Pelodiscus sinensis: one gene and its partner. The protein of the gene in region 1 interacts with the protein of each later gene in a pairwise test. Links are inferred from orthologs where the notes say so. Each region holds a gene or a part of one and is shown on either strand. Other genes may lie near its edges.

Region 1 (3,748 bases):
GGGGTCCAACAGTTACATAAATGTTTTGTCAGAAAACTCCTTAAGGAATAAGTTTTAGTGATTAATTTCTGGGCAACTCCAATTTAGGGGAACAAGAATACAAACTCACAGGAGGTGACCAGCAAATAATACCTATAGGTTTTTATCTCAAAATAATTATCTTTCAGTGTTACTTCAAGATTCTCTCACCAGGAGCAGTTATCTTTTCTACAAATTTTTCAGTTGAGTTTTGAATCACCAATAACAGTAAAATAGTGAGAGGGATGCAGCCGTGTTAGTCTGGTGTTAGTCTTTAAAGTGCTACATAGTTCTGTCTTTTGTTTCAATAACAGTAAAGGCTCTACTCTTGTTATGAGAGGGAGCAAAATAAGTTTCTACAAGATAATTAGACAGGAGAACACAGACTTTACAAAGTTAAATAATCAATTTAAAGTATTCAATAGATAATGACAGCCTGTGAAGTGTTTAGCAAGGAGGCACAAGTGACTTGCCTTGCCTGACAGAGGATCTAAAGCACTGAATCTTACCCAAGTAGTCAAAGAAGTGTGCAAAACTGAAAGTTAATAGCAAACAAAGCACCATAATATTGAACCATTAGCATTCTCCTATCCCAATCACAAATGAGCACACACACAAAATTACATTACTCAAGTGACAGTCACATCTCACTGGTACTACTGGGAGTTACACTTACATAGGATGGGTGAACAGAACCCGAAGAGTTAATATTTGCCCATATTTACAAAGAAATCACAGTAATGCCTAGGTTTATACTATGGGTATAGATGGGCATAGTTCAGGCAGCTTCCCATAAGCAACCTTTTTAGAGACATTGGTACTGTTCTTCATTAAGCCTTTTAACACAACACAATCTCTAATTGCACCCACTGTTAGTGTTCATAATGCATTTAGCAGCAAGTCCACTTCAGGAGATTCTTTTTAACACACAAACAAGCAGAAGGTTAAAAGCTACATCTCTGACTGAAACCTTTAATATATTAATTCTTTGTACAACACCTACCACAGTAGCTCATGCAGCAGACGGCCAGATCCCCTGCCTCGGTTTTTGTCAAAAGCATAAGCAAATATTTTAGCACCATTTCCATCAGCATCTACCTCCATCCGAGCCTGGAGAGAAGGAAAGAGTGTTCAGTGACCAAGGGCATCCAACTGCCAGCAGAAGCGCTTAACATTCCCTTTGGGAAATGGGATACTGGAAAGACCAACACCTGATATCATCTGTCCCCCTACAACTGCAGGAAACTGATTATATACTACTTCATCTCAACGGGATTTTAGTTATCTAAATCTTCTGTATTAGACAAAGACCAAAGGATTCTGCTACTGCACAAATGTGATAAATTGGGGAGAAGGAAGAAATAGACTGCACACAGCAGAAATGCTGAGCGCAAAGAGGAAGGATGGTCCTGTGGTTAGGGTGCCAGTCTAGCGCTCCGCTTTGCACCAGACAGTGGGCAAGTCACCACTTCACCATCTGTAAAATGGGGATAAGAGTACTTCCCAAGCGGACAGGGAGGCTGGTAAGATAAGTACGTTACAAACAAGAGTGACTCGGATACTGTAGCACAAGGGCCTTGTAAATTCGTCTGGGAGAGTCGGCATTCGCCATGGAGTCACGCAGAGCCCACTCTTGTTTTTTCAGAATTTATTGTGTTTTCCTCGCCACACCACAGCAGCTGCTAGCGGGGCTGGAAGGGGAGGGGGGAGGGGAAACGGGGGTTCCCTGCAGGCAAAAGGTTTTTAAACCAACTCCACCCGCCTGAACACCCACGTGCAAGTCAGCGCCTGCGAGCAGAGCCCGGCCCGGTGGGGGGGGGGGGGGGGGTTCCCGCCTGCGAGCAGAGCCCGGCGGAGGGGGAGGGGGGGTCCCGCCTGCAGCCCGGCCCGGCGGGGGGGGGTCCCGCCTGCAGCCCGGCCCGGCGGGGGGGGGTCCCGCCTGCAGCCCGGCCCGGCGGGGGGGGGGTCCCGCCTGCAGCCCGGCCCGGCGGGGGGGGGGGTCCCGCCTGCAGCCCGGCCCGGCGGGGGGGGAGGGGGAGTCCCGCCTGCAGCCCGGCCCGGCGGGGGGGGAGGGGGGGTCCCGCCTGCAGCCCGGCCCGGCGGGGGGGGGGGGGGGTCCCGCCTGCAGCCCGGCCCGGCGGGGGGGAGAGGGGGGGTCCCGCCTGCAGCCCGGCCCGGCGGGGGGGGGGTCCCGCCTGCATCCCGGGGGGGGGGGGGTCCCGCCTGCAGCCCGGGGGGGGGGCTCACCTCGAAGGAGAAGCTCTCCACCAAGGGGATGTCCTGCTCGTCGATCAGCGTGTACTTGGTCTGCAACACACGGGGGGGGGGGGCAGGTCAGCGCCCGGCACGAGGGCCCCGCCCCCTCCCCCCGCGCGGGGCGGGGCCTGGGCCGCGAGGGCCCCTCCGCCGGGCCACGTGCCCAGGCGGCGCCGCGGGACAAAGCGCGAGGCCCCCCCGATCCCGCGCTCCTGCGGCGCCGCCCCCGCCCGCCAGGGCCCGCGCGCCCGCCGCACCTTGCCGGCCACGCGGCCGAGCCGCACGATGCCCAGCTTGAAGTCCGTCATGGCCGGGCCGGGCTCGGCGCCGCCGCCTGCGCTCGCCGCTCGGGGCCCGGGAGCCGCCGCTGCCACGCGCCGCCGCCTCGCGCACACCCGGGGGGCGGGGCCGCACGCCGCCTCCCACCCGTCAGCGTTCAGCCAATCCCGGCACGCGCCGTGCCCTCCGTCATCGCCCTACGCCGCGCTCACGCCCAATGGCAAGGCGGGGCTGGGAAGGGTCACGCGGGGCAGCGCGCACGCACGGTGACGTCACACTCGCGGGAAGCTTTGTGCCGCCAACACTGGAGCAACGCAACGGGGGGGCGGGGCTTAAAGGGGCCGCAGCCACCCGCCTCGCGGGGGCCCCGCCCGCCCCGCCCCCTTCCTCCAGCGCTCCCTGCCCCCCCCCGGGATTCCTTTGGTGCACCCCCCCCGTCGTCCTGGAATTCCCTTGGTGCACCCCCCTGCCCTCCCCTCCTGGGATTCCCTTGGTGCACCCCCCTGCCCTCCCCTCCTGGGAATCCCTTGGTGCACCACCCCCCCCCCCCCCCCGTCGTCCTGGGAATCCCTTGGTGCCCCCCCCCGTTGTCCTGGGAATCCTTTGGTGCACCCCCTGCCCTACCTCCATCCAGCGCTCCATGCCTATTCTGAGCCTGAGTTGGCTGTGGTTTGGTGGAGAAGGGGGAATTGTCTGATAGAAGTGGCAGGATGGGTACGTAACGTGACTTTGCCTTTTAAAAAGGTGGTGTATGGGGATCTGCCATTAGGGCTGCAATCTCTCCTACCCGTCTGGCCGACCTACGAGGAAAACAGTTTTCCTGGACAAGTGTAATAATGCGGTGGTGGCATTGGTCTAGTTAGAGCATTCAGTACCAAATGCAGGTCCCACGGTTGCATTGGCGGATTGATATCTGGATAGAGTGCCTGCAGGCCTTTTAAGAACCTCTTGGTGAGTGGATGAGCAAATATGGACAAGTCGTCTATCTTGGAGTGTAATGTAGCGATAGGAGCAAGGTGAAATTTATTGCGAAGTGCAGGAGATAGTTGGGGATGGTAGGTAAGGAGAATGTCGAAGGAACCAGCTGGTGACATACACACCACTTCAAGAATCTTTTCCATTTCTGAAGGTAAGTCTTGCAGGTGCTACTGTGTAGAAGGACCCTTTGTACTTGCTGTGAGCAAGTCAACTCTAA
Region 2 (3,748 bases), on another chromosome or scaffold:
TCTACCCTGGAGGAAAATTCCTTCCCGACCCCAAATATGGCGATCAGCTAAACCCTGAGCATGTGGGCAAGACTCATCAGCCAGGCACCCAGAAAGTTCTCTATAGTAACTCCTATCATCCCTCCATTGACCTATTTCCCACTGATAATGAATGGTCAATTAGCTACCAAGATCATGTTATCTCATCAAACCATCCCCTTCATAAACCCATCTAGTTTAATCTTGAAACCAGACAGATCTTTTGCCCCCACTACTTCCCTTGGCAGGCCATTCCAGAACCTCACTCCTCTAATGGTTAGAAACCTTCGTCTAATCTCAAGTCTAAACTTCCTACTAGCCATCTTATATCCATTTGTTCTTGTGTCCACATTGGTATTAAACTTAAATAATTCCTCTCCCTCCCTGGTATTTATCCCTCTAATATATTTAAAAAGTGCAATCATGTCCCCCCTCAGCCTTCTTTTGGTTAAAGTAAACAAGCCAAGCTCCTTGAGTTTCCTTTCATAAGACAGGTTTTCCATTCCTTGGATCATCCTAGTGGCCCTTCTTTGTACCTGTTCCAGTTTGAATTCATCCTTCTTAAACATGGGAGACCAGAACTGCACACAGTATTCCTTGTATAATGGCACTAACACCTCCTTATCCCTACTGGAAATACCTCGCCTAATACATCCCAAGATCGTATTAGCCTTTTTCACAGCCATGTCACAATGGCGGCTCATAGTCCTTCTATAATCAACCAGGACTCCGAGGTCCTTCTCCTCCTCCGTTACTTCCAACTGATGTGTCCATAGCTTATAACTAAAATTCTTGTTATTAATCCCTAAATGCATAACCTTACACTTCTCACTATTAAATTTAATCCTATTGCTATCACTCCAATTTACAAGATCATCCAGATCTTCCTGTATGATATCCTGATCCTTTTCTGAACTGGCAATAGCTCAACTATAGGAACTGAGCAAAAGTCAAAAAGACTGACTGTTTTAATTTATAATCTTATTCTTTTGTCTGCAGATTTCAGAGGATGGGTCCTATAGAAAAGGAGATCTGGTTATTTCTTTCTGGACCAATGCTGTGAAAAACCATAATTGGATAACTGAGATTTAGAAAAATCACTAATGAACAGTGGGTTTTTTTAAATATCTGCTCCATTTCTACAGTTTTCTTCCTGAATATTATCTGGAACATGCAATTTTTTAGAAGCATTATCACTTTTCACAACAGGAAATCAAAGACCTGTAACAATAATACCAGTCCCTCAAAATGGCACCAGCCCAGGGGTAGGCAATACCTTGAGACAGGGGGCCACTTCAGAAATTTTTGAAGTGGCCCCAGGCAGAAGGGGTGGAGCCATGACACTTCCATGCTTCCCCATCCACAGACCAGGATGGCCTGGGGGTGAGGGGAGCACATGAAGTCTCCCCCCATCGCTCCCCAGAGAAAACCACCAGCTGTTCTTAACAGCTGGAAGTTCCCTCTAGGCTCCTAAGCCCCTAGCATCAGGAAGAGACTTTGCACATTCCCCCCACCCCCAAGTCAATCATGACCTGGGGGCAGAGGGAGCATGGAAAGTCTCTCATTCCCTTGCCCACTCCCTGCAAGGGGGTACTGTGCATAGAGTCAACCGCCAGCTGAGCAGCAGCCGGTGGTTGACTCTAAATAATCACGTGCCCTTGGCAGGGTGGGAATTCACTTCATGCACTCCCCGTATCCCCAGGTCTATCAGGGTCTGGGGAGGGTAGAAGTGCGGGGTCTTCTCCCGCCCTGCCCCCATCCTGCAAGGGGCACACGGCACTTACAATCAGCCTGTAGAGGCTTTTTTGCCCACCCCCTGCTCGAGCCCAACAGTTTAAAGCTCTCTTATTGGAGGCACGTTTCAATTGCATACAAGGAAGTTTAGAAATACTGAAAAATGTAGACGTGACTTTACAATATAAAACAAAGTCTCAGAGGGGTAGCTGTGTTAGTCTATAACTTTAAAAACAACAAGTAGACCTGTGGCACCTTAGAGGCTAACAAAAATATATAGGTAGTATCCTGAGCTTCATCTGAAGAAGTGGGTTTTTCCCACAAAGCTCAGGATACCATCTACAGTTTTGTTAGTCTGTAAGGTGACACAGGACTGCTTCTTGAACATAAAACAATTGATAAATAATAGAATAATACAGTCACGCTGGATACACATGGAAAACTGACATCCTGTCTATGTTAATAAGACTATTTAGAAAAGATTGAAATCCAAACATCTCTTTCCTTTACTCAGCTCTCCTTCCCCTCCCCCCCATACCCAGCCCTGTGAAGTCTTAGCAACAGGCAGTTCCCTATCACTCAAGGCCAACCCACAACATTTTGGCACCTGAGGCGGGGAGCTCAAATGACGCCCCCATGCCTCCTCCTCTTCTCCTGCCTGCTTTGTCTCTTGTACCCTCCTTCCTCCAGCACAGCACTCCACCATCTCTGTGCATCTAGGGCAGAGAGAATACACACGCACCAGCAGCAGACCCAATTTTCTACACTCTGGGTCCTAGTGGCGCCCCACCCACAGTCTGCCTCATGCTAAGGCCAGCCCTGCTACCACTTGCAGGCACGCAGACGCAGGGAATTTAACATCGCTGCTGCCAGCCCGGCCAGCTCTTACATACCCGCAGGAGCACAGCTGGCAAATGCACTTCTTGGTGGGCAGGGCCTTGGGCGGAGTCACGGGAGGAGACATCCTTGCTACGGGATGGAGCTAGATCCGCCGTCTCTCGCCCCCGCGGAAGCTCTGGGACGGAGAGTTTGACCAGCAGCCCTTCCGCAGGCGTGTTTCGGAGAAAGTTCCTATAAGGGACAGGGGTAGCCCCGGCCGGGAGCCGGAATCGCCGCAGCAGGTGAGAACGGCACTAAGGCAACTACATAGCACAGCTGATCCGCTTCCCGCCCCCCCAGCTCCGTCTCGTGCTGCTCCTCCCGCCCTAAGCAGCGCTGCTGGCTCCGGGGGCTGCAGCCTCGCGAGGCGATCACCCGGGAGCCTTTGTGAGGTCACACGGGCGAGCTAGCGCCGCTGTGTGCAGGCCCTGGGCCGGAGGCATTTAATGCGCTGGGCTGGGGTAAGCGGGTCGGGGCTGGAGTGGCACTTAGACCGGACACTCGAGCCTGGCCTGCTGGAATTAGAACTATTGCCGGGAGCTGGGGGGAGGCGGGGGGGACACGCACACTTGTCTCTAGTAGCCACTAGTGTTTTAAACACCACTTGTTCTCGACAGCGATACACATGGGATCACTAGCGCTCCCGTCCCGCCCGCGGGTGGAGCAGGCGTGCTGCATAAGAATGGCCTGTCCGCCTCCGGAGCGGGGAATTCGAAGTGAAAACTGGGGGGGGGGGGGGGGTACGCACAGCCTCTGTCATTACCCCTTTCGCTTGTTTACGGGAAGGAAGTTGCAGAGGCTGGTTGTGAACACGGTCCGCCTGTGCCGGGTCTTCTCTGGGTCATTCTTGAAGGACTTACCTCAGCCTCTAGGAGGGAGCCCTGCAGTAGTAGTTTTCTAGGTGAGATTAACTCAAAAGCTTCAAAAAGCTTGTGACCTTTTTAACATCTGATAGCATTTTGAACAGGAGGTGGTGTATTAACCGTAGCTGATCTGGCCCCGTTGCACCCAGTCAGCCTGCATTTCCTCTGGATGTTCACCAGTCCTTCCTAAACTTTAGCTACCCTTGTTCAGCCCTTGGCAGAATCCAGCAGGAAAAGGAGCTAAAGGGAAAATT

Evidence for each region.
Region 2: the proteins of ZMYND19 (region 1) and SAXO1 interact in binary tests that used the Homo sapiens proteins (3 or more experiments, as listed by UniProt). The two-hybrid records come from large-scale screens. The link is inferred for Pelodiscus sinensis from reciprocal best matches to the Homo sapiens genes ZMYND19 and SAXO1.

Annotation. Positions count from the first base shown.
Region 1 is NC_134732.1:1,204,220-1,207,967, forward strand, and holds the start of ZMYND19 (zinc finger MYND domain-containing protein 19), read right to left. Parts: upstream 2,727-3,748; 5' UTR 2,583-2,726; coding exon 2,532-2,582; intron 2,326-2,531; coding exon 2,266-2,325; intron 1,129-2,265; coding exon 1,022-1,128; intron 1-1,021. UniProt on the Homo sapiens protein: May be involved as a regulatory molecule in GPR24/MCH-R1 signaling.
Region 2 is NC_134716.1:19,822,801-19,826,548, reverse strand, and holds the start of SAXO1 (stabilizer of axonemal microtubules 1), read right to left. Parts: upstream 2,887-3,748; 5' UTR 2,717-2,886; coding exon 2,646-2,716; intron 1-2,645. UniProt on the Homo sapiens protein: May play a role in the regulation of cilium length. Stabilizes microtubules at low temperature.